4 linked regions of the Anolis sagrei genome follow. The protein of the gene in region 1 interacts with the protein of each later gene in a biochemical or structural test. Links are inferred from orthologs where the notes say so. Each region holds a gene or a part of one and is shown in the gene's direction. Other genes may lie near its edges. The genes, in order: RNF40, WAC, UBE2A and UBE2B.

Region 1 (8,155 bases):
ACGCAGGTAGGCAGGTCCCAAACCGTTTAGGGCTTTGTAGGTAAGCACCTGCACCTTGAATTGGGTTCTGTAGGTAAACGGCAGCCAATGGAGCTCCTTAAACAGGAGGGTTGACCTCTCTCTGTAAGGAGCGCCAGTTAACATCCTGGCCGCCGCTCGCTGGACCAGCTGGAATTTCCGAGCTGTTTTCAAGGACAGCCCCACGTAGAGAGCATTACAGTAATCCAATCTAGAGGTGACCAAAGCATGGACCACCCCGGCCAGATCAACCTTTGCAAGGTACGGTCGCAGCTGGCGCACAAGTCTTAGTTATGCAAAAGCCCTCCCGGACACCGCCGAGACCTGGGGTTCCAGGCTCAGCGATGAATCCAGGATCACTCCCAAGCTGCGAACCTGCATCTTCAGGGGGAGTGTAACCCCGTATAACACAGGCTCTAACCCTATGCCCTGTTCGGCCTTACGACTGACCAGTAGGACCTCTGTCTTGTCTGGATTCAATTTCAATTTGTTAGCTCTCATCCACTCTGACACAGCAGCTAAACACCGATTCAAGGTCTGGACAGCCTCCTTGGTAACAGATGAGAAGGAGTGACAGATTTGGACATCATCTGCGTAGAGATAACATCTCATTCCGAAACTCCGAATGATCTCCCCCAGCGGCTTCATGTAGATGTTAAATAACATCGGGGACAAGATTGAACCCTGTGGGACTCCATACAACAACGGTTGTGGGGCCGAACAGGTGTCACCCAGTAACACCTACTGGGACAGTCCCTCAAGGAAGGATCGGAGCTACTGCAAAGCAGTGCCCCTGAACCCCATATCCATGAGGCGTCCCAGAAGGATACCGTGATCAACGGTATCGAAGGCCGCTGAGAGGTCCAGCAAAACCAACAGGGACACACTCCCCCTGTCCATTTCCCAGCAAAGATAATCTACCAAGGCGACCAAGGCTGTCTCAGTTCCATGTCCCGGCCTAAAGCCAGACTGTGCCGGATCTAGATAATCCGTGTCTAACCAGAAACCCCTGGAGTTGTGTCGCTACCACACATTCCATGACTTTGCCCAAATAGGGGAGATTGGAAACTGGCCAATAGTTGTCGAATTGAGTGGGATCCAGTGATGGTTTCTTCAACAGCAGTTTTGTAATAGCTTGTTTTAAGTTCGCTGGAAACTTTCCTTCCTGTTAGGAGGCGTTAACCACCACTTTTACCCACTGTGCCAAACCCCCTCTGGCTTCCTTTATCAGCCAGGATGGGCAGGGGTCTAGGATGCATGTGGTAGGTCGCACCTCTCCGAGGATCCTGTCCACATCCTCAAGCTGAACCAATTGAAAAGAATCCAACAAAACTGGACAAGCAGATGCTCGCGTTACATCCCCAGGTAAAGGTAGTCCCCTGACATTAAGTCCAGTCATGTCTGACTCTGGGGTGTGGTGCTCATCTCCATTTCTAAGCCGAAGAGCCAGCGTTGTCCATAGACACCTCCAAGGTCATGTGGCCAGTATGACTGCATGGAACGCTGTTACCTTCCCACCAGAGCGGTACCTATTAATCTACTCACATTTGCATGTTTTCGAACTGCTAGGTTGGCAGAAGCTAGGGCTGACAGCGGAAGCTCACGCCACTCCCCGGAATCGAACCTGCGACCTTTCGATCAACAAGCTCAGTTCGATCAACAACTCACTGCGCCACCGGGGGCTCCCCAGAGAGTGCCGTTAATACGTCGTCAAAACCCGACCGAATCCGCACAATTTTATCCGCGAAGAATCGAGCAATTGCTTCACAGCGAGCCACCGAGTTATCAGGGGCCTCGCTTTTCAGCGGATTTAACAGTCCCCTGACAACTCGGAAAAGCTCGGCTGGACGATTCTTCGCAGACTCAATATTTATTTATTTATTTATTTATTTCATTTACTTATACCCCGCCCTTCTCACCCCGGGGGGGACTCAGGGCGGCTTACATAGGAGGCACAATTAGATGCCTAAATCTATAGACAAACAATATAAAATACAAAACAATTCAACAGTTAAATTAAAACATCAGTGCACAATAAATATTAAAAACAATCTCATGCTCGGGTTCAGAGTCCATATGTCCATTCCGTTCCATTTGTCCTTGTCTATCGTTAGATCCTTCATTTAGTTGCCAGTGTGTCCAAAGGCTTGATCCCAAACCCAGGTCTTCAGTTTTTTCCGGAATGCCAGAAGGGAGGTCGCCGATCTAATCTCCCCGGGGAGTGAGTTCCACAGGTGGGGGGCCACCACCGAGAAGGCCCTGCTCCTCGTCCCCGCCAACCTCACCTGTGAGAGTGGCGGGGTCGAGAGCAGGGCCTCCCCAGAAGATCTTAAGCTTTGAGGTGGGATGTAGAGGGAGATCCGTTCGGACAAATACACTGGGCCGGAACCGTATAGGGTTTTGTAGGTCAAAACCAGCACTTTGAATTGTGCTCGGAATTGGATCGGCAGCCAGTGGAGTTGGCGCAACAGGGGGGTGGAATGCTCCCTGTACGCTGCTCCGGTGAGCAATCTGGCTGCTTCCCGCTGGACTAGTTGAAGTTTCCGAGCAGTCTTCAAAGGCAACCCCACGTAGAATGCGTTGCAGTAATCCAACCGGGATGTGACAAGAGCGTGGACCACCGTGGCCAGATCACTTCCCAAGGTACGGGCGCAGCTGGCGCACAAGTTTTAATTGTGCGAAAGCTCTCCCGGCCACCGCTGAGACCTGGGGTTCCAGGCTCAGCGATGAGTCCAGGATCACTCCCAAACTGCGAACCTGCATCTTCAGGGGGAGTGTAACCCCATCTAACACAGGCTGTAACCCTATACCCTGTTCGGCCTTGCGACTGACCAGTAGGACCTCTGTCTTGTCTGGATTCAATTTCAATTTGTTAGCTCTCATCCAGTCCAATACAGCAGCTAAACACCAGTTCAAGGTCTGGACAGCCTCCTTGGTGACAGGTGGGAAGGAGTGACAGATTTGGACATCATCTGCATAGAGATAACATCTTAGCCCGAAACTCCGAATGATCTCTCCCAGCGGCTTCATGTAGATGTTAAATAACATCGGGGACAGAATTGAACCCTGTGGGACTCCACACAACAACGGTTGCGGAGCCGAATATTGGCTGCCAGAAATGTGCGTAGAGATAACACCTCAGTCCCTTCTTTCAACCATTCATTTATTTCTCTTTTTTCCATTTATGATGGCACACCAGGAAGATCTAATGAGAAAACTAAATGTGTCTGGCTATTTTCCCAGTGACCATCTGTATGCCCTAAATTACTTTAATTCCCCCAAAAATAACACTCTACATACAAGACTAAATTAACCAAATTGAGTTTACTAAACAAACAAGATGAATTACAACAATGTACAAAGGTACAGATTGATTATGATGGTATAACTCTGAGGTAACAAAGTATAATTTCTATGAGGTAAGTATTCTATAAACTATAAACTCTAAGGCATGTATTAGCTAAGAATTCTATGAAGCATATATTATCTAGGTTCTTGTGGGTTTTTTCGGGCTATAGAGCCATGTTCTAGAGGCATTTCTCCTGACGTTTCGCCTGCATCTATGGCAAGCATCCTCAGAGGTAGTGAGGTCTGTTGGAATTAGGACAATGGGTTTATATATCTGTGGAATGGCTGGGGTGGGGCAAAGAACTCTTGTCTGCTGGAGCTAGGTGTGAATTTTATTTATTTATTTATTTATTTATTTATTTATTTGCTATATTTGTATACCGCCGTTTCTCAGCCTAGCCGGCGACTCAACGCGGTTTATTATTATTATTATTATTACAACATAATGTTTCAGCTGATCACCTTCATTAGCATTTGAAGGCCTCAGGCAGATTTTCCCAGGCTCAGGCAGGCCTTCAAATACTAATGAAGGTGATCAGCTGAAACATTCACACCTAGCTCCACCAGAGAAGAGCTCTTTGCCCCACCCCAGCCATTCCACAGATATATAAACCCATTGTCCTAATTCCAACAGACCTCACTACCTCTGAGGATGCTTGCCATAGATGCAGGCGAAACGTCAGGAGAAATGCCTCTAGAACATGGCTCTATAGCCCGAAAAAACCCACAAGAACCTAGTGATTCCAGCCATGAAAGCCTTCGACAATACATATATTATCTATTCTTTATAACATCTATTATAAACTCTAAGGCAAATATGTGATAAGGATGGCCTGTACGGACTGCAAGCCAGACCAGACACTTTTCTGGCAACTATCTATAAATTATGACCAAAAGGAAAGAAGCCAAAAAGTCTTTCACCAGGCTCTGAGGCAGAATGGGCTGAGCCAAAGAGCTCGGCCTATAGGGGGAGCCTAAACTCCTACTCTAAACTTGGCAAAATGGAACAGTCCAACAGGCAACAAGGAAATAATACTAGGCCGAGACATCACACCATTCATTTTAGTATTGCTCCCCCTCCTCTGGTACCTTATTAAGGGATTCTGGCCCCATTAAAGGCCTTTGAGGTGGAGGACTGAAGGAGTCCTCCGTTGCCATGGCATTCTGGGCTCCGTCCAATTAGAAGAAAGAATGTTGAGCCAGGTCAGGAGCGAGCCAATCAGTGCCGTCCTCTTTCAAAGTGGAAGGAGCCTTTCCTATGAAGGATACTGGAAAGGTAGTGCTCTCTATAAGCGGCAAAGAAAGATAACTCCCTCTTCTAAACCATTGTTATGCCTCCAGAGCCAGGATAGGATCATTGTTACCACTCCAGAGCCAAGTTGGCATCCTTCTGAGGAAATGTTTACATTTGACTTCCTTTTTCCCTGTCTCTATGGGAGGAGTTTTACCTTGGAGCCACGCCTCTTCTTCTAGGAGCATCCGTCCAATCACAGGTAATCTCTTTCCCAGTTGAACCAATCGTGTGTCAGCTTTCATTCCACCCTCCCACTTACGTATGCACACAACCCGCCCTTCCAGGTGTCCTTTCGACCAATAGGAAAGCACGTCGCATTCCGAGTCGAAGAGTCTGCTCGCGCATGCGCCACCCAGAACAGGAAGGGGAGATTCGCTTGAGTCTGGCCGAAAGATGCCTCCTCGGGCGCATGCGCAGTGGCTGCGGCGGGGCTTCTAGTCCGAAGCGTCGTATGGAGGGGAAGGCAGAGAGGCGGCGGCGATGGCGGGGTGAGCCTGCAGGTCTCCTTCCTCCCCTTCCCTATCGGGCCTTCTCTATCTCTTCTTCTCTAAACACCCATTTTTGTGGCACTGTCTCTTTAAAAAGTACCTGAGAGCCATGCTAATAGGATCATTCTTCTTATTCTCACTCAAAATACATCTTATTTATATTACTATCAATAATAATACTTAAAACACATTGAAATCATTTGTGCCAACAAAATGTCAGTTTAAATTCACAGGTTCAAATAGACTGAGGGGCCCACCCATAAAATATATTACTATAACAACAATAACAACAATTATCATTGTTATAATTATTATTGTTGTGTTGTCAAAGGCTTCCATGGCTGGAATCACTGGTTTATTGTGAATTTTCCGGGCTGTATGGGCATCTTCCAGAAGCACTCTCTCCTGAAGTTTTGCCCACATCTATGATCTAATAGAGGGAGAAAACGTGGAGGCCGTGACAGACTTTGTATTTCTAGGTGCAAAGATTACTGTAGATGCAGACTGTGGCCAGGAAAGACGCTTACTTCTTGGGAGGAGAGCAATGTCCAGTCTCGATAAAATCGTAAAGAGTAGAGACATCAGACTGGCAACAAAGATCCGCCTAGTCAAAGCCATGGTATTCCCTGTAGTAACCTACGGATGTGAGAGCTGGACCTTAGGGAAGGCTGAGCGAAGGAAGAGAGATGCTTTTGAGCTGTGGTGTTGGAGGAAAGTGCTGAGAGTGCCTTGGACTGCGAGAAGATGCAGCCAGTCCATCCTCCAGGAAATTGGAGGGAAGGATACTAGAGACAAAGTTGAAGTACTTTGGCCACATCATGAGGAGACAGCAAAGCCTAGAGAAGACAATGATGCTGGGGAAAGTGGAAGGGAAAAGGAAGAGGGGCCGACCAAGGACAAGATGGATGGATGGCATCCTTGAAGTGACTGAACTGACCTTGAAGGAGCTGGGGGTGGTGACGGCCGACAGGGAGCTCTGGCGTGGACTGGTCCATGAGGTCACGAAGAGTCGGAGACGACTGAACGAATGAACAACAACATGGCAGGTTGTGAGGTCATTGGAAATTAGGCAGGTGGGGTTTATATATCTGTGGAATAAGGTCCAGGGTAGAAGAAAGAAAGAACTCTTGTGCTTGCAATTGGCCACCTTGATTAGTACTGAATGGTTTTGCAGGTTCAAAGTCTCTGGCTGCTTCCTGCCTGGGGGAAGTGTTGCTAGAAAGTGTTAGCTGGCCTTGGTTGTTTCATGTCTGGAATTCTCCTGACAGTAAAAAGAGCAACTTTCAAAAAATGGGGGAATTCCAGACAGGAATAAATTAGGACCAACTAACACCTCCTAACAATTCCTCTAAGCCAGTGGTTCTCAACCTGGGGTCCCTAGATGTTTTTGGCCTACAACTCCCAGAAATCCTAGCAGCTGGTAAACTAGCTAGGATTTCTGGGAGTTGTAGGCCAAAAACATCTGGGGACCCCAGGTTGAGAACCACTGCTCTAAGCAGGAAGCAGCCAGTCTTTGAAGCTGCAAGGCCCTTCGGTGCTAATCCGAGTGGCCAATTACAACTGCCTCCAACAGACAAGAGTTCTTTCTCCCACCCTGGACGTTCCCCAGATATATAAACCTCACTTGCCTAGTTTCCAAAAGACTCCTCAGCCTCTGAGGATGCTTGCCATAGATGTGGGTGAAAAGTCAGAAGACAATGTATTCTTGAAGGCTTTCATGGCTGGAATCACTGGGTTGTTGTAGGGTTTTTTTGGGCTATATGGCCATGTTCTAGAGGCATTCTCTCCTGACGTTTTGCCTGCATCTATGGCAAGCATCCTCAGAGGTTGTGAGGTCTCACAACCTCTGAGGATGCCTGCCATAGATGCCGGCAAAACGTCAGGAGAAAACGCCTCTAGAACAGTGGTTCTCAACCAGGGGTCCCCATGTTTTTGGCCTACAACTCCCAGAAATCCCAGTCAGTTTCCCAGCTGTTAGCATTTCTGGGAGTTGAAGGCCAAAAACATCTGGGGACCCCAGGTTGAGAACCACTGCTCTAGAACATGGCCATACAGCCCCAAAAAACCTACAACTCAGAAGACAATGTTTCCTGAACATGGTTATGCAGCCTGGAAAACTCACAGCAACCCATAATAATAATAATAATAATAATAATAATAATAATAATAATAATAATAATAATTTGCTTTATTTCTGTACTTAAGGCAACATGCAACACAGTTAAAATACACAGATGAAAAAAACAACCATTTAAACATATAGATTAAAAACATTTAAATCACTTGTATCAACAAAAGATACCCTGACGACTTCCGGTGGTGGCAAGATGGCGGGAGAAGCAAGTTCCTGACGCTCGTCAGCTCTTGCAACTTGTTGAATGCCTCAGGGGGGCTAGTCCCCCCCTGCCTCGTGGAAATAATGGGGCAGTAGGACCCTTAGACCAAGAAGCTCCAAAGGAGACCCCCAAACTTGGCAAAGGGGTGAGGTCCAACACAGGTTCCCGGGTAGAATCCGGGCTAGGACGCCAGCCACCATCTTCAAAACAACACAACTGAAAGAACGAAGAACGAAAAGGTGAGCAAGACAGAGAGACAGAAGGGAAACAGAGGGGGAAACAAGAAGGCCAGGTGCCAAATTTGGGGCCGTGGTTGACAACAACTAAGATAACTTTAAACCGTAAAGAACATAACATAAACACTACTGAACTTTTAACTCAAGAACTCCGGAGACAAGAAACTTGAGATTTTCCTGAACTCACCCCCTTCCCATTGTTACCTCACCCGCTCCTTGTTTCTTGCTCCTTCTCTTCGCTCCTTGTGTTTCCATACGCTCCCCAACCCTCCGTTTTGGAGGTAGAGATGGCGCGCGCGGGGGCGAAGCGAGAGTGAAGCCGTTGCACGCGCGAGGGTGAAGCCGCTGCTCCAGAGGCTGCACGAAACGGGAGAAGACCCTGGGACCCAGGGAGAGGAGGGAGTCCGAAGGGGGCGGCAGCGAAAGAGACGGCGG
Region 2 (7,413 bases), about 95 Mb from region 1:
GCCCACCGACCTCCTTCCTCCCAGAATAGCGTTGCTGTTGCCATCCTTGGCTTAGAAGCCGGAATCCAGGGACGGGTTTCTGCGCCTGCGCAAGGCTCAGAGGTAGAAAGTGCAGGATAGGACGCCGCCCGCGCCTGCGCAGTAAGAGCTCTGAAGCCTCAGCGGCCATTGCCCTCTCTCCCTCCTTAAACCCTTCTGAAGCCCAATGCAATGCAACGCCTGGGACCAGGGGAGCAGTTATGCCAGGCATAGGCAAACTTCGGCTCTCCAGGTATTTTGGACTGCAACTCCCATAATCGTGGGAGTTGTTGTCCAGAACACCTGGAGGACCCAAGTTTGCCCATGCCTGATCTGCACTGTAGAATTAATTGCAGTTTGACATGCACCACTTCAACTTTAATGATTCAGTGCTATGGAATTCGGGAGCTGTAGTTTTGCAAGGTATTTAGCCTCCATTGGCAGATAGTGCAATGGAACCTCAACAATGCACTTTTGACACCACTTTCCTTGTTTGGTGGTTGCATTTCTGCAAATATGAATAATAATAATTGCAAAAATAAAATAAATAATTAGTTATTTGTCGAAGGCTTTCATGGCTGGAATCACTAGGTTTTGTAGGTTTTTTCGGGCTATATGGCCATGTTCTAGAGGCATTTCTCCTGACGTTTCGCCTGCATCTATGGCAAGCATCCTCAGAGGTGACCTCACCTCTGAGGATGCTTGCCATAGATGCAGGCGAAACGTCAGGAGAAATGCCACTAGAACATGGCCATATAGCCCGAAAAAACCTACAAGAACCTAATTATTTATTTAATTTTTTGTAGTGTCAGGAGCGACTTGAGAAACTGCAAGAATTGGCTGTCTGCAAGGACGTTGCCCAGGGGACACCCAGATGTTTTTATGGTTTATCATCCTTGTGGGAGGCTTCTCTCATATCCCTGCATGTGGAGCTGGAGCTGATAGAGGGAGCTCATCCACGCTCTCCTCCGATTCGAACCTGCAACCTGTCGGTTTCAGTCCTGCCGGCACAAGGTTTTAACCCACTGCACCATCAGAGGCTCCATAAATAATAATAATAATAATAATAATAATAATGTGTATTTGCATGGATGCCTAGAATTGTGGCCCAAGCACAAGGTACTAACCATGCAGGAAAGGGTTTTTTCATTTTTGTAAAATATCATATATTATCATATTATTGCTATGATATTTATTATATTATATTATTTATTTACTGCATTTGTATACCGCCTTTCTCAGCCAGAGGTGGCTCAATAACCATTTGTTATTTTAATACAATTATATAATTATAATTATATATCGTCGTCGTCATCATCATAATATATTACTACTGACTGTTATTATTGTATTGCAATGAAAGGACTACAAAGTGGAGACCACAACATGCGAGTGTGGAAAAGAGCAAACCTCAGATAACTGACACAGTGCAGTATGAGCTCTGCCACAAGCAAAATGGAGGACTTTTTTTACAGTTACATCAGAAGCAACTGATGTGGTCAAAGCAAATTCAATGTATTTTTTATAATGTATTAAAACCACGGAGTTATCAAAGGCTTTCATGGCCGGAATCTCTGGGTTGCTGTGAGTTTTCCAGGCTGTATGGCCATGTTCCAGAATAATAATAATAATAATAATAATAATAATGATAATAATAATAAAACTTTATTTATACCCCACTACCATCTCCCCAAGGGACTTGGTGCGGCATACATGAGGCCAAGCCCACAGTACATCAATAAACAAAAGCAATAACAAAAAATCAATACAATACAATTAATATAAATCGCATAAATAAAAAATAAACAATAAACAGTAACACGCAAGCATTTAAAAACCTATGGCAAGGCCAAATGTAATAGTTTTCTGGGCTGTATGGCCATGTTCCAGAAGCATTATGTCCTGACATTTCACTCACATCTATGGCAGGCATCCTCAGAGGTTGTGAGGTCTGAGGATGCCTGCCATAGATGTGGGCAAAATGTCAGGAGAGAATGCTTCTGGAACATGGCCATACAGCCCGGAAAACTCACAGCAACCCAGAGATTCCGGCCATGAAAGCCTTCTATAACTGTGGTTTTTTATGCATTATAACTGTATCCTCAATTTGCTTTGGACACGATAAAGAAATAATTACTGTATTATAACCATTTATTACTATCATATATTTGGAATGCTCTCCCTAAAGAAATCAGACAGGCTCCCCCTCTAGCTCCGTTTAGAAAAGAACTAAAAACCTGGATGTGGAAGCAAGCTTTCGAAAACGGATGATGACTACTTAATATTATGGTGGTCTTTTAGTTCTGTCAAATACCTATTGGTTTTAACTGGTTTTGCCTCCAAGATGCGATTATGTTTTTAAACCAAGTGCAAATTTTTAAGCTGTGTATTTATTGTGATACTGTTATGTTAATTTAACCTGCTTGTGATTGCTGGTTATATGTGATGTCCTGTCTTTTTGCTTTTGCTCATGTATATGTTATGATTTAATTTTGTTGTAAGCCGTCCCGAGTCCTTTTGGAGAGGGAGCATGATATAAAGATTATTATTATTATTATTATTATTATTATTATTATTTTGTGATCATATCTATTAGACATGGGCAATCTTGGACCCTCTGGGTGTTTTGGAATTCAACCCCCACAGTTCCTAACATTGATACTATTTATTTATTTATGTATAGAATAACTCTTTTAATTGATAACCTTAATTGTCTGAGGGTCAGGGATTTTTTTAATGGTTTAATGTTTTAATTTATTAATTTGTTTAATTTGGCTAACCTAATGTGTTTGTTTTGCTTATATGATTTTTTTTGGTATTTTTATGATATGCAGTTTTGTCATTTTTAACCCTTGTACACCGATTTGACATCAAAACATCAAAAAAAAAAAAAAACCAAGATTATGGCAACAAGAATGATTGACAAGTGGGAAATAGAGGGAGAAAATGTGGAGGCCGTGACAGACTTTGTATTTCTAGGCGCAAAGATTACTGCAGATGCAGACTGTGGCCAGGAAATCAGAAGACGCTTACTTCTTGGGAGGAGAGCAATGTCCAGTCTCGATAAAATAGTGAAGAGTAGAGACATCAGACTGACAACAAAGATCCGCCTAGTCAAAGCCATGGTATTCCCTGTAGTAACCTACGGATATGAGAGCTGGACCTTAGGGAAGGCTGAGCGAAGGAAGATAGATGCTTCTGAGCTGTGGTGCTGGAGGAAAGTGCTGAGAGTGCCTTGGACTGCGAGAAGATCCAACCAGTCCATCCTCCAGGAAATAAAGCCCGACTGCTCACTGGAGGGAAGGACACTAGAGACAAAGTTGAAGTACTTTGGCCACATCATGAGGAGACAGCAAAACCTAGAGAAGACAATGATGCTGGAGAAAGTGGAAGGCAAAAGGAAGAGGGGCCGACCAAGGGCAAGATGGATGGATGGCATCCTTGAAGTGACTGGACTGACCTTGAAGGAGCTGGGGGTGGTGACGGCCGACAGGGAGCTCTGGCGTGGGCTGGTCCATGAGGTCACAAAGAGTCGGAGACGACTGAACGAATGAACAACAACAACACACCGATTTGAATCCTACCCACAGGAGAAAAGCGGGATACAAATAAATAAATAAATAAATAAATAAATAATAATAATTATTATTATTATTAAGTGCAGGCCAAGGTCTTTAGGCACTGCACCCAGTGTGCTGATCACCACTGGGACCACTTATTATTATTATTATTATTATTATATGCTATTATTATTATTATTATTAATATTATTATTATTAGATACACAACAAGATTAGTACACAGTAAACAAGACAGAGGGTAATTTTGTCAGCGCCGATTGTTTTTATTATCATAATCACCATTTAATTGCTTTGTATTGTATTTGTTATTGCTTGTTTTGCTTGTATTGTTGTATTGTGGGCTCGGCCTCATGTAAGCTGCACCGAGTCCCATGGGGAGATGGTAACGGGGTATAAATAAAGTTTATTATTATTATTATTGGTAGTAGTAGTAGTAGTAGTAGTCTTCGCCCGTCTCTCGGCTCTTTCCGGAAACACCCGATGCCTTTCCCCGGCGAAGAAGGCAGGAGCGGAGAGAGCCGACGTCGCCCGAAAAGCAGGGCTTGGTCCGGAAAATACCGAAGATGAGTAGAAGGCGTGTCTTCTTCAAACCCGAAGGGGGAGGGATCGGCTGGTGTCCGGAAGCGGCCGAGGATACCCGAAGTGCGAAGCCGCGAAAAGAGGAAGGCAGGCGGAGGAGAGGGAGGAGCTTGGGCGGAAAGAGCCGAGCGGAGCCGACGTTTGGCGAAGGCGTCGTCGCTTGAGTTTCCCGGATGTAGTTGGACGGCGGTAGTGTTGGGAGCAGTGACTGAGGGAGAGGGAGGAGGAGGAGGAGGAAGGAAGGAGGAGGGGGGAGGAGACGGTGGTGGCGGCGGCGGGAGGGGGGAGACGTCGTCGTCGTCGTCGCCGCCTTCGCCTTCCTTCCTTCTGCGTTGCGTTTCCGCGTTGCGTTCCGTTGGGCGGCGAGGCGATGGGCCCGTGAGCGCCGCTGGGCCTCTCTCCTCCTCCTCCTCCTCCTCCCTCCCCTTCCTCCTTCCTTCCTTCCCCGTCCGTGGCCCAGCCGCGCCCTCCTCCTCCTCCTCCTCCTGGTCCCCTCAGTCTCTCTCTCACAGGCCGGGCATTGATGGTAATGTATGCGAGGAAACAGCAAAGACTCAATGATGGGTAAATAAGCCCCCGTCCTCCATCTTCCTCGCCCCCCCCTTCCCTCCCCCTTCCTCCCCTCCCTCTCTCCCAACCGCCAGTAACGGCCACTCTCTCGCTAACGCCACTGTTTCTCTTTTTTCTCTCCCTTCAGCTGTCACGACCGCAAGGGGGACTCGCAGCCCTACCAGGTACCTCCTTCGCCGCCGCCGCAGCGGAGTGTGGGAGGAGGGCCGGCCGCAGCTACTCCAGCGCAGGCTTGGCCCGCCGCTCTAGGCCGCAAAGGGCCTCGGCCTGCTTCCTGGGCCGCGCGAACAAGGGGAGGGAGGGAGGAAGGGGCGGCCTCCAACGGGAAGGGGGGGAGCGAGAGAGGCCTAGCGCCCCGGATCTGAGCCCAGGTCGTTTCTGTTTATCCCGGACTATCTTGCACTGTGGGCTCCTATAACCCAGTTTCAAGCAGACCACCTGGGATCAGATCCTGAGATAGAGGGTCCGTCTGGAATGACCCGTAGATAGGTCTTTTTTTCTTTTTGGGGAGGAGGGGGCGTTCCCCCCCCCCCTTTAAATTAACACAGCAGTGTGAGGCAATAGCTTAGAACAGGCATTCCTAACAGCCATGGCAGTTCCAAGTGGTGCATAAATTCAATATCATGGGCAAACTTCAGCCCTCTTGGTGTTTTGGGCTGCAGATCGCACCCTTCCTAACAGCCATGGCAGTTAAAGTGGTGGCCGACTGCATAAATTCAGTGACATGGGCAAACTTTGGCCCTCCAGGTGTTTTGAACTGCAGCTCCCACCATTTCTAACAGCCATTGGTGTCCAACTGCATAAATTCAATGACACAGGCAAACTTTGGCCCTCCTGGTGTTTTGTACTGCAGCTCCCACCATTCCTAACAGCCATGGCAGTTCAAGTGGTGTCCGACTGCATAAATTCAATGACACAGGCAAACTTCGGCCCTCCTGGTGTTTTGGACTGCAGATCCCACCACTCCTAACAGCCATGGCAGTTCAAGTGGTGGCCGACTGCATAAATTCAGTGACACGGGCAAATTTCAGCCCTCCTGGTGTTTTGGACTGCAGATCCCACCATTCCTAGCAGCCATGGCAGTTAAAGTGGTGTCCGACTGCATAAATTCAATGACATGGGCAAACTTCGGCCTTCCGGGTCTTTTGGACTGCGGATCCCACCATTCCTAACAGCCATGACAGTTCAAGTGGTGTCCAACAGCATAAATTCAATGAAATGGGCAAACTTTGGCCCTCCAGGTGTTTTGGACTGCAGATCCCACCACTCCTAACAGCCATGGCAGTTCAAGTAGTGTCCAACGGTATATATTCAACGGTGTGCCTACATCAGACATGGGCACACTTGGGCCCTCCATGTCTTTTGGATTTACACTCTCATAGCTCCTTATAACTTCGGGCCCCTTCCTTTCCTCCCTCGGCCACTTAAGTGGCTGAGGGGGGAAAGGAGGGCCTGTGGCTGTTAGGAATGATGGGAGTAGAAGTCCAAAACACCTGGAGGGCCAAAGATTGCCTATGCCTGGGCTAGAAATTAAAACTGCCCCCCCCCTTATTTATTTCTAACCCTCTCCTCAAATTTAATAAAGGGTAAGTTCTATCCAAGAGAACTGTTGTTGTCCCTTGCCACCGCCCTTTCCTGGCCCCCAACTACACTGCAGCTTCTCATGCAGTTTCAGACTGTATCATATGGTCAGGGTACATTCATTCAGTGCAGCTGAGCTCACTACAACAGGCATGTGCAAACTTTGGCCCTCTTAGAAATTATGGGAGTTGAAGTCCAAAACACCTGCCAGGCCAAAGTTTGCACATGCCTGCACTACACTGTTAAGAGTGCTGTTATTCCACTTTAAATCCCATGCCTGCCGCCTCTGGATTCCTGGGATGTGCACTTTAGGGAGGGGTCTTCAAAATTCCAAACTGGATGTGTCCTGGGCCTCATTACGTACAAAGGCCAGAATTCCACAGGGGGCTGTCATAGGATTTAAAGTGGAACAACAGTGCTTCAACAGTGTAATGTGATAATTTATATAAGTCTATATCAGGCATGGGTAAACTTCAGCCCTCCAGGTGTTTTGGGCTTCAACTTCCATAATTTCTGACAGCCAGTAACTTCCATTATTCCTGACAGCCGGTAGGCTGTTAGGAAGTGTGGGAGTTGAAGTCCAAATCACCTAGAGGGCTGAAGTTTGTCCATGCCTGGTCTACAATCATAGAACTATAGAGTTGGAAGAGACCTTGTGGGCCATCCAGTCCAACCCTCCCAAGTAGCAGGAAAATCTCATTCAAAGCATCCCCGTTTTATGGTCTACACTGGCCATATGATGCTGTCTCAAATCACCTTATAAGGCAGTGTAGATGGAGTCCTGTCAGTGAGGCGGTTTTAAATTAGGAATACATTGTGGTACCCATTTAAAAAATACAGCTTGAGCATCCCTCATCAAGCAGTGTACCTGTACTATAGAATGAATGTGGTTTGACGCCACTTTAACTGCCCTGGTTCAATGCTGCAGACTTCTGGGAGTTGTAGTTTGTTCTGTCACCAGCACAATAAAGAGTTCTTGTGCCTCGCCAAATTCCAGAACCCAGGGTTCCATAGCATTTAGCCATGGCAGTTAAACTGCATTAATTCTGTAGTGTACTTGCAATCTGAAATGCTTGGGACCAGA
Region 3 (7,726 bases), on another chromosome or scaffold:
ACAGCCAACAGGGAGCTCTGGCGTGGGCTGGTCCATGAGGTCATGAAGAGTCGGAGACGACTGAACGAATGAACAACAACAACATCTATCTATCTATCTATCTATCTATCTATCTATCTATCTATCTATCTATCTATCTATCCATCCATCCATCCATCCATCTATCTATCTATCTCTTCTATATATAATATATATATAAATGCTCTGTGCATAATGAGTACCTTAAAAACAAAAGAACCAATGAACGAAATCACACTAAATTTGGCAACGAAACGTCTCACAATGGAAGGAGTGACCATCACTCAAAAAATTATGATTTTTCCTTTGGGAGTTGTAGTTGCTGGGATTTATAGTTCACCTTCAATCAAACAGCATTCTGAACAATGGAATTGAACCAAACTTGGCAGACAGAACTCCCATGACCAACACTAGTAGGGTTTAGTGGGCATTGACCTTGAGTTTGGGAGTTGTAGTTCACTTACATCCAGAGAGCACTGTGGACTCCAACAATGATGGATCTGGACCAACTTGGCACAAATATTCCATATGTCCAAATATGAACACTGGTGGAGTTTGGGGGAAATAGACCTTGGCATTTGGGAGTTGTAGTTACTGGGATTTATAGTTCACCTACAATCAGAGACCATTCTGAATAAACCCCACGAATGACAGAACTGGGGCAAACTTCCCACACAGAACCACCATAACCAACAGAAAATACTCAAGGCCACCCAGTCCAACTCCCTTCACCAGGGCAAGAAAACATCAGCAAAGCCCTCCTGACAGAGAGCTACTGAGCCATAGATAGAGATGGATATATATGATTCACACACACACAGATAAAGTATTATAGATTTGAAAGGGACTCCTAAAGAAGGACAATTCTATGTTGCATGTTCCAGAGTAAGCAAACCAGACAATCTCTACGTCAACACTGTCAAACATCAAGAAATACTATTTACCCACAAGCATAAAGACATTTCATAGATTAGAAACCAGCACTTTCTAATTACTTGATTTTCCATATCACCAGACTGGGACACAGCAACGCGTGGCAAGGGATCTCTAATTATTATTATACTAGCTGTCCCCTGCCATGCATTGCTGTGGCCCAGTCTGTTGATCTGGAAAATAAAGTAATGAGAAAGTGTTGGTTTCTAATATATGTAATGTCTTTCTGCTTGTGGGTAAACAGTATTTCTTGTTGTTTCTTTGTCAGTGTTGATGTGGAGATTGTCTGGTTTGCCTACTCTGGAACATGCAACATATCATAGTCCTTCTTTAGGGGTCCCTTTCAAATCTATGATACTATATCTGTGTGTGTGTGTGTGAGAATCATATCTATCTATCTATGGTTGGATGGCTCTTTGTCAGGAGGGCTCTGATTACGTTTTCTTGCCCTGGTGAAGGGAGTTGGACTGGATGGCCTTAAGTATTTTGCGTTGGTCATGGGGGTTCTGTGTGGGAAGTTTGCCCCATTTCTGTCGTTTGTGGGTTTCAGAATGGTCTTTAATTGTTGTGAACTATAAATCCCAGTAACTACAAATCCCAAACGTCAAGGTCTATTTCCTCCAAACTCCATCTGTGTTCATATCTGGGCATATGGAATATTTGTGTCAGGTTTGGTCCAGATCCATCATTGTTTGAGTCCACAGTGCTCTCTGGATGTAGGTGAACTACAACTCCCAAACTCAAGGTCAATGCCCACCAAACCCTTCCAATGTGTTCTGTTGGTCATGGAAGTCCTGTATGCCATGTTTGGTTCAATTCCATCATTGGTGGAGTTCAGAATGCTCTTTGATTGTAGGTAAACTATAAATCCCAGCACCACCAATTCCGAAATCTCAAAATCAATTTTTTTGAGTGCAGGACATACACTGGGTTGTTAGGTGTCTTGTGTCCAAATTTGGTGTCAATTCCCTCAGTGGTTTTTGAGTTCTGATGGTAGCACGAACGAACATTACATTTTTATTTATATAGATTATTATTTTAGAAGAGAAGCTACCCCTGACCTTTATTATTATTATTATTATTATTATTATTATTATTATTATATTTTGATTATATTTATTATTATTATTATTATTATTATTATTATTATTATTTGGTTCACTCCTGACACTATAAATAAATATTATTATTATTATTATTATTATTATCATCATCATCATCATCATAGAAAAAAAGATCCCGCTGAGCAACTATATTTATTATTATTTATTATTTATATTTATTTTAGAAGAGACGCTTCCTCTGCACTATTATATTTATTATTATTATATGTATTATTATTGTTTCAGAAGAGAAGTTTCCCCTGCACAATTATATTATATTTATATATTTAGGTTCTTGTAGGTTTTTTCGGGTTATAGGGCTATGTTCTAGAGGCATTTCTCCTGACGTTTCGCCTGCATCTATGGCAAGCATCCTCAGAGGTAGTGAGGTCTGTTGGAATTAGGACAATGGCTGGGGTGGGGCAAGGAGCTCTTCCCTGCTGGAGCTAGGTGTGAATGTTTCAACTGACCACCTTCATTAGCATTTGAAGGCCTGCCTGAGCCTGGGAAAATCTCTTGCTGGGAGGTGTTAAGATGTGCCTGGTTGTTTCCTCTCTGTTGTTTTGCTGTTGTGATTTTAGAGTTTTTTTAATACTGGTAGCCAGATTTTGTTCATTTTCATGGTCTCTTCCTTTCTGTTGAAATTGTCCACATGCTTCTTGTGGATTTCAATGGCTTCTCTGTGTAGTCTGACCTGGTGGTTGTGAGAGTGGTCCAGCATTTCTGTGTTCTCAAATAATAATCTGCTGTGTCCAGGTTGGTTCATCAGGTGCTCTGCTATGGCTGACTTCTCTGGTTGGAGTAGTCTGCAGTGCCTTTCATGTTCCTTGATTCGTGTTTGGACAACGCTGCATTTGGTGGTCCCTATGTAGACTTCTCCACAGCTGCATGGGATACGGTAGACTCCTGCAGAGGTGAGAGGATCCCTCTTGTCCTTTGCTGAACGGAGCATTGGTTGGATTTTCTTGGTGGGTCTGTAGATTGTTTGTATGTTGTGTTTCCTCATCAGCTTCCCTATGTGGTCAGTGGTTCCCTTGATGTCTGGCAAGAACACTTTTCCTCTGGGTGGGTCTTCGTCTTGACTCTCGTGGCTTCTTCTCGGTGGTCTTGCAGCTCTTCTGATGTCTGAGGTGGAGTCTCCATTGGCCTGGAGAGCCCAGTTGAGGGGGTTCAGTTCCTCTTGGAGGAGGTGGGGTTCACAGATTCTCTTTGCACGGTCTGCCAGAGCTTGAATGGTGCTTCTTTTTTGACTTGGGTGATGGTTGGAGTTTTTATGTAGATATCTATCTGTGTGTGTGGGTTTTCTGTAGACGGTGTGACCCAATTGTGGATCTGGTTTGCGGATGATGAGGACATCTAGAAAAGGCAGTCTTCCTTCATTTTCTTTTTCCATGGTGAACTGGATGTTTGGGTGGATGCTGTTGAGATGTTCCAGGAACCTGTTGAGTTCTTCTTCTCCATGGCTCCAAATGGTGAAGGTGTCATCCACATCTCTGAACCATATCGTGGGCTTTTTGGTTGCTATCTCCAGGGCTTGTTCTTCAAAGTGTTCCATAAATTTATATATTTATTATTATATATTTATTATAATTATTATTATTTTAAAAGAGAAGCTTCCCTGCACAATCATATTCTTCTTCTTCTTATTATTATTATTATTTCAGAAGAGAAGCTTCCCTGCACTATCATATTCATTATCATTATTATTTTAGAAGAGAAGCTACCCCTGCACTATATTATTATCACAATATTTTGATTATCATAGAAAAAGAGTTCCCCCCCCCGAGCAAATATATATATATATATATATATATAATATTTATTTTAGAAGAGAAGCTTCCTCTGCACTAATATATTTGCTATTATTATATGTATTATTATTATGTTTCCCCTGCACAATTATATTATATTTTTATATTTATATTTATTATTATTATTATTATTATTATTTTAGAATAGAGGCTTCCCTGCACTATCATATTAATTATCATTATTATTATTATTATTATTATTATTATTATTATTATTATTCTATTTATTATTATTAGCTCCCCCTGCAGTATTCTATGCCATGGCTATTATGGTTCCTTCCACCTATTTCCCCCCCTTTATTCACCGCTTGTTGGTATCGCTCAGAGAGGATGACGTCAGCGCTTTGAGAGCTCTCTTTCCAAGCCTGCGGAAGCCACGCCCCTTTGTGTCCTTCCCGCGATGTGATTCGCTGGCCGCTAGCCCCGCCTCTTCCCTGTGTATTATATTATTTTAGAAGAGAAGCCATCCCTGTACTATTATATTATATATTATATTTATTATATTTATTATAATAGTTATTATTGTTATTATTATTATAGAAGAGAAGCTTCCCCTGCGCCATTCTATGCCATGACTATTATGGTTCCTTCCCATTTCCCCCCCTTTATTCGCCCGCGCCTTGGTATCGCCCAGAGCGGATGACGTCACGGCTGCGAGCGCTGCCTTCCCAAGCCTGCGGAAGCCACGCCCCTTTGTGTCCTTTCCGAGATGTGATTCGCCGGCCCCTGGCCCCGCCCCTTGCCTGTTTATTGTCCCATTCCGTGCCCCCCTGTTTGGCGAGAGCAGTGGTGCGGTCCGGCGTGGAGGGAGCAGGCGCGGCGGGCGCGACCACTGCGGGATTAGGGGCGCCGGCCGCGTCGGGAGCGCCAGTGTCGAGGCGAGGAGCCGAGCGAGCGGAGTGCGAGCGACGCCTGGCCGAGAGCCCGCCATGTCCACGCCCGCCCGGAGGCGCCTCATGCGGGACTTCAAACGGTCAGCGCGGCCGGGCGGCGAGGGGATTGGGCCCGGGAAAGGGAGCGAGTCGGGCCGAGACGGAGAAGAAGGAGCCCTCAGGAGAGACAACATGGCGGCCGGGCGGGGGAGCGCTGCGCCAACTGCGTAGCCACCGCGCTCTTGGCGTAACGCGCGCCCGGCAACCAATGGGGAGCCCCGCACCACAGCGGCTTACGCACTTGGCGTAGCCTTTCCTTGCTAGGCCTTGCCACTCAGAGACTTCTTAGATGATTATCATTATCTCATTATTATTAGATTACTCAGCCTCTTATTGTTATATTATATTATTATTATCATCTTTATTTTATAATATTATCTTATAATTACTGTTATTATTGAGACTTATATAATATATCTCCTTGCTAGGCCTTGCCTTATATTATTATATCATTATTATTATATTACTCAGCGTCTTTTTATTGTTATATTATTATCAATCTATTATTATTATTAGGGTCTTATTTTATAATATTATCTTATTACTATATCATAATTATTATATTACTCAGCCTCTTATTATATTATATTATATTATTATTAATCTATTATTATTATTAGAGTCTTATTTTATAATATCATCTTATTATTATATCATTATATTACTCAGCCTCTTATTATGTTACATATTATCAATCTATTATTATTATTAGAGTCTTATTTTATAATATTATCTTATTACTATTATTATTGAGTCTTATATAATATGTCTCCTTGCTAGGCTTTGCCACTCAGAGACTTCTTATATTATTATTATTATTATTATTATTATATTATTAGAGTATTATTTAGAAGTCTCTTATAATATAAGAGACTTCTTACATTATTATATCATCATTATTATATTACTCAGTGTCTTCTTATTGTTATATTGTATTATTATTAATCTATCATTATTATGAGTCTTTATTTTATAATATTATCTTATCATTACTATTATTATTGAGTCTTATATAATATATCTCCTTGCTAGGCCTTGCCACTCAAGAGACTTCTTATATTATTATATCATTATTATTATTATATTACTCAGCGTCTTCTTATTGTTATATTTTATTATTAATCTATTATTATTATGAGTCTTTATTTTATGATATTATCTTATTATTATATCATTATTATATTACTCAGCCTCTTATTATTATATTATATTATTATCAATATATTATTATTAGAGTCTTATTTTATAATATCTTATTGCTATTATTATTGAGTCTTATATAAGGCCTTGCCACTCAGAGTCTTCTTATATTGTTATAATTATAATTGTTATTATATCATTATTATTATATTACTCAGCCTCTTCTTATTGTTATATTATATTATTATTAATCTATTATGAGTCTTTATTTTATAATATCTTCTTATTATTATATCATTATTATTACATTACTCAGCCTCTTATTATTATATTATATTATTATCAATATATTATTATTATTATTATTAGAGTCTTATTTTATAATGTTAACTTATTACTATTATTATTGAGTCTTATATAATATAACTCCTTGCTAGGCCTTGCCACTCAGAGACTTCTTATATTATTATTATTATTATTATTATTATTATTATATCATTATGATATTATTCAGCATTTTCTTATTGTTATATTATTAATAATCAGTTATTATTATGAGAGTCTTATTTTATAATACTATCTTATCATTTCTATTATTATTGAGTCTTATATATCTCCTTGCTAGGCCTTGCCACTCAGAGTCTTCTTATATTATTATTATTATATCATTATTATTATATTTCTCAACGTCTTATTGTTATATTATTATTAATCTGTTGTTATTATTATGAGAGTCTTATTTTATAATACTATCTTATCATTACTACTATTATTGAGTCTTATATAATATATCTCCTTGCTAGGCCTTGCCACTCAAGAGACTTCTTATATTATTATATCATTATTATTATTATATTACTCAGCGTCTTCTTATTGTTATATTTTATTATTAATCTATTATTATTATGAGTCTTTATTTTATGATATTATCTTATTATTATTATATCATTATTATATTACTCAGTCTCTTATTATTATATTATTATCAATATATTATTATTAGAGTCTTATTTTATAATATTATCTTATTGCTATTATTTTTGAGTCTTATATAAGGCCTTGCCACTCAGAGTCTTCTTATATTATTATAATTATAATTATATCATTATTATTATATTACTCAGCCTCTTCTTATTGTTATATTATATTATTATTAATCTATTATGAGTCTTTATTTTATAATATCTTCTTATTATTATATCATTATTATTACATTACTCAGCCTCTTATTATTATATTATATTATTATCAATATATTATTATTATTATTATTAGAGTCTTATTTTATAATGTTAACTTATTACTATTATTATTGAGTCTTATATAATATAACTCCTTGCTAGGCCTTGCCACTCAGAGACTTCTTATATTATTATTATTATTATTATTATTATTATATCATTATGATATTATTCAGCATTTTCTTATTGTTATATTATTAATAATCAGTTATTATTATGAGAGTCTTATTTTATAATACTATCTTATCATTTCTATTATTATTGAGTCTTATATATCTCCTTGCTAGGCCTTGCCACTCAGAGTCTTCTTATATTATTATTATTATATCATTATTATTATATTTCTCAACGTCTTATTGTTATATTATTATTAATCTGTTGTTATTATTATGAGAGTCTTATTTTATAATACTATCTTATCATTACTACTATTATTGAGTCTTATATAATATATCTCCTTGCTAGGCCTTGCCACTCAGAGTCTTCTTATATTATTATTATTATATCATTATTATTATATTACTCAGCGTCTTATTGTTATATTATTA
Region 4 (7,794 bases), on another chromosome or scaffold:
TTTTTCCACCATGGATTTTACATGGTGATATCCAGAAGTGTGCTTACTACCGGCTTCAGCTGATATGCCTGTGGCATCCTTTCCTAGAATCAGAGGACCTAAAGATGGTAGTAGTGCACATGCTGGTAACCTCAAGGTTGGATTTCTGCAATGCACTGTACACTGGGCTACCTTTGTACCAAATTCGGAAACTCCAGCTAGTTTAAAATTTGGCATCCAAATTGGTTACGGAAACATCCAGGAGTGAAGATCTCACACCTATCCTAAAGTCACTCCACTGGCTGCCAATTAGTTACTTGGCAAAACACAAGGTATTGGTTTTGACCTTTAAAGCCCTACATGGTTTGGGTCTAGGTTACCTATAGGATTGTCTTCTCCCATACAATCCGCCCCGAACACTTTTGAGGGGCATCTGCTCCAACCAGCCAGAATCCGACTGGTGATCGTCGCCCAGAAGATCTTTTCATCAGTTATCCTAAGACTGTGGAATGACCAGTGGAAGAGATCAGACAGCTAAATGAGCTTTCGGAATTTAAGAGACAATTAAAGACCTATCTCTTCCTGCAGGTCTACCCAGTCAGCTTTGAACCATGAGTTTTGGATTCACGTTCTATTACCACTGTATTTTGTACCATGTGTTTTGGTGTATGTATTCTATGTTGAGGTGTTTTCACTGTGTTGGATCCCACCTTGAGAGGAGAGGCGGGTAACAAAAATTCTTCCTCCACCACAACCTCCTCCTCTGCCTCCTCTCCTTCTCCTACAATAGCCCTCAGAGTTGGTTCCAGGACACACACACATTGATACCAAAATCCATGGATGTGCAAGTTCCATTATACACAATGTTATAGTAGAAAAGCATTCCTTATATAAATGGTAAAACCAAGATTTTGTCTTTTGGAATTAATTTTTAATATTTTCTAGCCATGGATAGTTGAATCCATGGATATGGAGAGCCAAATGTACAGTATTATACTGACAATTTTATTTCCAGTTTCCCTTTTAATTATGGCCAATGTGGACTTTAGCTTTTTTATAGCAGCCACAGTCTGATTTTGTTGAACTTTGTACCATAAGGGAAGATCCTTTTCTGAGTCAGTTGCTGACAGCTCATGATCCCATCAGTATATATCACTCAAACCATAGTATTTTCAGTTTCTATGTATGATTCAGAAAGTTAGATAGCAAAGGAAGATAATATGGTGAATTCATTTTAAATACAGTCCTGGAGAAAAGGTCTAGGGAAATCGTTTAAAAAAGCCCTAGAACAAATCAAACCTAAACTTTCACTGACAACTAAAATTACCAAGCTGTGGTTGTTTTATTTTGGATGCATCATGAGACAATATGACTCACTGGAAAAGATAAGGAGCTATGGTGGCACAATAGGTTAAACCCTTGCGCTAGCTGAATTGCTGACCTGAAGGTTAACGGTTCAAATCTGTGAGATGGAGTGAGCTCTCATCTGTCAGCTCCAGTTTCCCATGCGGGGACATATGAGAAGCCTCCCACAGATGGCCAATTCTCTCACACCAGAAGCGATTTTCAGTCACTTCTGACACACAAAAATTTGGAAAACATTATAGTAGAATCATCGAATTGGAAGAGATTACATGGGCCATCTAATACAACCTCCATAATACAGAAAAAGCACAATCAGAGCACCCCAACAGATAGCCATCCAGCCTCTATTTAAAAGCTTCCACCACACTCCAAGACTGGGAGTTCAACTGTTGGTCAGGAAGTTCTTCCTAATGTTCAGGTGGAATCTCCTTTCCTGTAATTTGAACTCATTGCTCCGAGTCCTAGTCTCCAGGGCAGAAGAAAATAAGCCTGTTCTCTCTTCCTTATGACATCCTTTCACATATTTATACATGGCGATCATGTCTTTTTTCAACTTTCTCCTCTGCAGGCTAAACATGCCCAGCTCTTTAAGTTGCTCCTTATAGGGCATGGTCTCCACATTTTTGATAATTTTAGTCACCCTCTTCTGGACATGTTCCAGATTGTCAATATCCCTCTTGAATTGTGGTGCCCAGAATTGGGCACAGTATCCCAGCTGAATCTGACCAGAGCAGAATAGAGAGGCACCATTTCTTTCCTTGATATAGACCAGTGGTTCTTAACTTGTGGGCTGTGGACCACCAGTGGGCCGCAAGGTCAAAAATCTGGTTTGCATGCCTTCTTCCTCTTCATTTATTTATTATTTATTTTATTTCTGCTCCTTTCACATTCCTTCCCTGTCTTTGACCATGGCATATGTTCTATATCAGAAATTAGAGCTGATATGGTCTATCCAATGCAATTTTCTGATCTTTAATATTAGTCTTGGCTTGTTTGCAAATATATATTTAAAGTAAAGTGTTCCCAATTTAAACATGTGGTCTATTACATAAACACCATCAGTTTTGGAATTGTATTTTATTATGATGATGTATACAGTTAATTGTTCTGGCACTAAAAAAATCTATTGAAATATAATTGACTGATGTACTTGTACTTCTTTTTGTATGTAAATTATCATTAGATCTAGTTTTGAACAAAAGGCAGATAAGAATAAAACGATTGCACCTTTAAATTGATTCGAAGACCTTGCTTATAACATCAAGTTACTTGCAACAGGATGCAGATTCATGCTGAACTTTCTGAGGCCTGGCCAAAGACATTTTGCTGTCTGAATCAGAGTACCAAAATAATAATAATAATAATAATAATAATAATAATAATAACAATAATAGTACTTCTGTGGTTGTTTTGCTTCCAACTACAGGCCCATGCCCTGGTTGCTCAGCAGGTCCTGGTTTCTGTAGCCCACTTGTCAACGGGTGCCCAGGAGAAGCACTCGCCGCGGCCCTTATTATCCTGGGCAGCGACCAAGCCAGTCTAAATTTCTTTAGAGTTTGTTTTACCATATTTAAATGGGTTGGATGCACTTAGTTCTACTTCTCAGTTGAGCCCACTCTGGCTTGGTTGAACCTACTGGTAGTTTACACTATGACCAGCACAGAAAATGAACACGTCAAGCTACTTTGGGACTTCCGAACTCAGACTGACAGAGTTTTGGAGCACAATATGCCTGACCTCACGATCGTGTTAAAAAACAAAGTATGGATTCTAGAGCTTGCAATCCCAGGTGACAGCAGGATTGAAGAGAAACAACTAAAAAAGCTGATACAATACGAGGATTTAAAGATCAAACTGCAAAGACTCTGGCACAAACCAGTAAAGATGGTCCCAGTGGTGATTGGCTCACTGGGTACAGTGCCTAAAGACCTTGGTCTCCACTTAAACACAATAGGCACTGACAAAATCACAATCTTTCAGCTGCAAAAGGCCACCGTACTAGGATCTGCATGCATTATTTGCCGATACATCACACAGTCCTAGACACTTTGGGAAGTGTCCATGTGATCGATTACAACAGCCAGCAGAGTGATCTTGCTTGCTGTGGACTCATCTTGTTGTGTTTCTAATAATAATAATAATAATAATAATAATAATAATCGATCAGCATACTGAGTGCAGTGCTTAAAGACCATGGCCTCGACTTAAAAGCAATAGGCACTGACAAAATCACCATCAGTCAGCTGCAGAAGACCACCCTACTTGGATCTGCATGCATTATTTGCAGACACATCACACAGTCCTAGACACTTGGGAAGTGTCTGACGTGTGATCCAATACAGTAGCCAGCAGAGTGACCTTGTTTGGTGTGTACTATAGAATCATAGACTCAAAGAGTTGGAAGAGACCTCATGGGCCGTCCAGTCCAACCCCCTGCCAAGAAGCAGGAATATTGCATTCAAATCACCCCTGACTGAGAAGGCTGAGAGGAGATATGATAGCCATGTATATATATGTGAGAGGAAGCCACAGGGAGGAGGGAGAAAGCTTGTTTTCCGCTTCCCTGGAGACTAGGATGCGAAACAATGGCTTCAAACTACAAGAGAGGAAATTCCATCTGAACATGAGGAAGAACTTCCTGACTGTGAGAGCCGTTCAGCAGTGGAACCCTCTGCCCCGGAGTGTGGTGGAGGCTCCTTCTTTGGAAGCTTTTAAACAGAGGCTGGATGGCCATCTGTCAGGGGTGATTTGAATGCAATATTCCTGTTTCTTGGTAGGGGGTTGGACTGGATGGCCCTGAGGTCTCTTCCAACGCTTTGATTCTATGACAGATGGCCATCCAGCCTCTGTTTAAAAGCTTCCAAAGAAGGAGCCGCCGCCACACTCCGGGGCAGAGAGTTCTACTGCTGAACGGCTCTCACGGTCAGGAAGTTCTTCCTCGTGTTCAGATGGAATCTCCTCTCTTGTAGTTTGAAGCCATTGTTTTTGTGTTTATAATAATAATAATAATAATAATAATAATAATAATAATAATTTGCTGATGTACTGCAAATCATTCAACACACCTGCCATGAAATCCATCTAGATTTTGCCCATCCCATTCAGATGATGGTAAGACAAGACATTTTTTTAATTGTTTAAGGATTGTGTGAAACTCTGCCTTAAAGGGTAATAAAGATTTCAAAGGCCAACCAAAGCAACTCTTTCCACCAGCAGGGCGGAGGAGTTGTTGTTGTTGTTACATTGGAATGGAATGAGGGGGTTGGACCGGATGGCCCTTGTGGTCTCTTCCAACTCTATGGGAAAAGACATGATGTCGCTGCCTCTCCTTCCCTGAACGCATGGGAATGTCGAAGCGAAGTTCCTGGGAGGAGAGGGAAAGCGCCTTCCGCCGCCCTGCCCTCCGCTTCCGCAGTGGTACGTTCCTAAGGCTCCCTGCCCTCCCCCCTCCAAGTAGGCGCAGTGGTACGGTCCCGAAGGGAGGCTGCCTTCCTCCCTCCCTCCCTCCCTCCCGCTGGCGGAGGGAGACGCCATTGCGGAGTTGTTTGTGAAGCAGCGGAGCAGGAGGAGGCGGCGGCAGCGGACGAGGAGTGAGCCGCCCTTGGTGCCGAGGCTGTTTGAGGCCGAGCGGGGATTATTTTACCACCGGGAAAAGGGGAGACCATGTCCACTCCGGCCAGGCGGAGGCTCATGCGGGACTTCAAGAGGCAAGTGCGGCCCTGCTCTCCCCCTGCCCACCTTCCTTCGTCCCCTCTGCTTTGGGCCTGTTCTGGGGCTGGCCCTCCTTTCCTTAAAGGGCCCGCGCCTCCCTGGGGGTCCTGGCTCCCCTGCTCCCCCCTCTTTCCTTTCGTGTCTAGGAAGAAGGGGGCCGTCTGGATTTTGCCCCCAAGCTGGTGAGAGGGCAAAAAGATTGAGAAGTTCCCCTCTTTCCTTCCTTTTCCTCTCCTGTTATGGAAGTAGGCATCAGGATACATTTGGAAGAAGGAGAAGGGTTCAGCTAGAGCAGGCATGGGCCAACTTGGGCCTTCCTCCAGGTGTTTTGGACTTCAACTCCTACAATTCCTAACAGCCGCTAGGCTGTTAGGAATTGTGGGAGTTGAAGTCCAAAACACCTGGAGGAAGGCCCAAGTTTGCCCATGCCTGAGCTAGAGACAGAAGGTGTAAAGGATGCCCCCACCCCCACCCCCCAAAAAAATAAAGAAAGAGAAGGAATTGTCTGTACTTTTGGGGCAATGGCTCAAACCATTGGCTTCTCCCTCTGGGCCTTGGGCAAGGAATGCCTTTAGAACAGGTGTGGGCAAACTTGGGCCTTCCTCCATTTGTTTTGGACTTCAACTCCCACAATTCCTAACAGTCTACCAACTGTTAGGAATTGTGGGAGTTGAAGTCTAAAACCCCTGGAGGAAGGCCCAAGTTTGCCCACACCTGCTTTAGATCAAAACTGAGTGGAAATGGAGTGGGTTGGCCTTGGCAGAAATACTGATCTGGTGGAAGGAGCTGGTTTGTTTATACCATGTTGGGGCATCCTGCCTCAGTCGAGGCCAAACCTTTAATAAATACCCTTTGCCGTCTTGGGAGACTGGAAGCAACACTTGCCCTCTTCGCCATCCCATGCTGAAGTTGTTACATTAAAGGTACAGTCCCCTTCATGGAAATAATTGCATCTATAATAAAGGAAGGGGTTTTAATCTGCTCAGAATACAGACTGTACAGTTTACCAGAGTTTCGCTTGCGATGCTCTCAGTCAACAGATCTCTGAGCATTTTGCCAATGCAGTGCTTCAAAAATAAAAGGAGCTATTGTAAGAGACTCAGGTTACCCACTGAGCCAACCCCGGAGCTGTAAATAAAACTTCTTCCAGTCCAGTCACTGCTGCTGCCGCCTCCTCTTCTTCTCATCCTGAATCTTTTAATCCCCACATATGTGCTCCAGAGTAGAGTTTCAGTGTATTTCAGTCTTGCTGCATTATATCCCTTTAAGCTTATACAGAATTAGTATAATAGTTACATTTTGGAAATTGAAACTCTTCAGAAAGTGGTTTGGAAGATGGCAGAGAAAAGAATAGGGAGTTTTGCTGTATAGCCAGCTTGTAGTGTTGGGGGAAAACTGGTTATGCTGAAACTGCCATTTCATGGCATGTAGAAAAATGTGCTCTTCACAAGGAAGCCTGTTGATTTTCCCTGTTGTATGTGGAGAGTTGTGTCCTATGTTTCTTTTAGGCTGCTTCCTATAGTTGGAAGTCCTGTCCTTCTCTGCTTCTTAGTTCTCACTGACATCTGGAGAGGATATGCTGAAGTTAGCAAAAATAATGGCCATTTTCTGTTTCTCAAGTAAGCTGCCAGGAAAAGCAAGCTCTCCAAAAGGACTTTCCTGGCACTGCAGATGGATTCCGCAGCGAAACATGTTACAGTTCCTCCAAAATCACAATTTATAACCTGGACACGTAAAAAGATTTAGATCGCCACATTAATGGTGTAACTGTCTCCTTGTAATTTAAACTGACTAGTCAGCAAGTTCGGCTGCAGGATGCCAGTCTTTGTTTTAGGCTGGAATTGGCAAGACTGCCTTTATGAATGGGCAAATATTTCAGATTGGGATCATGCAGTGGCTGCTGAGTCAGCATAGGGCAGCGGATGCTTGCCTCACTCCCAGTACATTAAATGGGGTTATGCCAACACAACAGTATGAGTTGTGTTGTTAACAGAGCACAGTGACAGTATGCAGCATTATTCTAATCCCAAACATGGTTTTTTCTTGAGAACACTGAGGGTCCTTCCACACAGCCCTATATCCCAGAATATCAAGGTAGAATATCCCACATTTTCTGAGTGTGGACTTAGATAATTCAGTTCAAAGCAGATAATGTAGGAATTTCTGCCTTGATATTCTGGGATATAGGGCTGTATGGAAGGGCCCTGGGGCTTATTTCGGGTATTGGTTATTCTATCACATTTATTATCCATGCTGAATTAATATTACCTAACTGCTTTTAATAGCTATTTGAGTATATCTAGAAAGCTCAGGAGTTACAGTTATAACCTTTGGCCTTGAACTCCCAAAAATCCTAACAGATGGTAAACTGGCTGGGATTTCTGGGAGTTGTAGATAAAACACCTGGGGACCCACAGGTTCAGAACCACTGTTCTAAACTATTTTCTAGATAGCTGGATTTGGCAGAGTGACCAAAAAAAGAGGGAGAAAGTTCTCAAGTCAAAGCTCTGGGATAATTGAAACATGCCCTATGACTCTTTTAAGTACTATTATTTGTTCCAAACATCTTGAATTAACAGGAGAAAGAACATTTTGGTCAAGTTATTTCATCTAGGCTGGTATGGTAGGATAAGGTCCCTATAGTTTCTGTGATCTCAAGTGAACTTTCATTGTGTGTGAAAGCCCAATTTGGGCAGCAAACTCTTTACAGCCAAAGGCTTTTCACAGCATGATGTTCCT

What was found.
Region 2: the proteins of RNF40 (region 1) and WAC form a complex in vitro, tested with the Homo sapiens proteins (2 studies listed by BioGRID). The link is inferred for Anolis sagrei from reciprocal best matches to the Homo sapiens genes RNF40 and WAC.
Region 3: the proteins of RNF40 (region 1) and UBE2A form a complex in vitro, tested with the Homo sapiens proteins (3 studies listed by BioGRID). The link is inferred for Anolis sagrei from reciprocal best matches to the Homo sapiens genes RNF40 and UBE2A.
Region 4: the proteins of RNF40 (region 1) and UBE2B form a complex in vitro, tested with the Homo sapiens proteins (3 studies listed by BioGRID). The link is inferred for Anolis sagrei from reciprocal best matches to the Homo sapiens genes RNF40 and UBE2B.

Annotation. Positions count from the first base shown.
Region 1 is NC_090026.1:15,946,713-15,954,867, reverse strand, and holds the start of RNF40 (E3 ubiquitin-protein ligase BRE1B), read left to right. Parts: upstream 1-4,999; 5' UTR 5,000-5,148; intron 5,149-8,155. Other genes in the region: CFAP119 (cilia- and flagella-associated protein 119), read right to left, coding at 4,456-4,524.
Region 2 is NC_090026.1:110,877,591-110,885,003, forward strand, and holds the start of WAC (WW domain-containing adapter protein with coiled-coil), read left to right. Parts: upstream 1-4,388; 5' UTR 4,389-4,701; coding exon 4,702-4,742; intron 4,743-4,875; coding exon 4,876-4,912; intron 4,913-7,413.
Region 3 is NC_090030.1:3,051,313-3,059,038, forward strand, and holds the start of UBE2A (ubiquitin-conjugating enzyme E2 A), read left to right. Parts: upstream 1-4,603; 5' UTR 4,604-4,794; coding exon 4,795-4,838; intron 4,839-7,726. UniProt on the Homo sapiens protein: E2 ubiquitin-conjugating enzyme that accepts ubiquitin from the ubiquitin-activating enzyme E1 and transfers it to a E3 ubiquitin-protein ligase. In vitro catalyzes 'Lys-11', as well as 'Lys-48'-linked polyubiquitination.
Region 4 is NC_090022.1:91,998,752-92,006,545, reverse strand, and holds the start of UBE2B (ubiquitin-conjugating enzyme E2 B), read left to right. Parts: upstream 1-4,653; 5' UTR 4,654-5,007; coding exon 5,008-5,051; intron 5,052-7,794. UniProt on the Homo sapiens protein: E2 ubiquitin-conjugating enzyme that accepts ubiquitin from the ubiquitin-activating enzyme E1 and transfers it to a E3 ubiquitin-protein ligase. In vitro catalyzes 'Lys-11'-, as well as 'Lys-48'- and 'Lys-63'-linked polyubiquitination.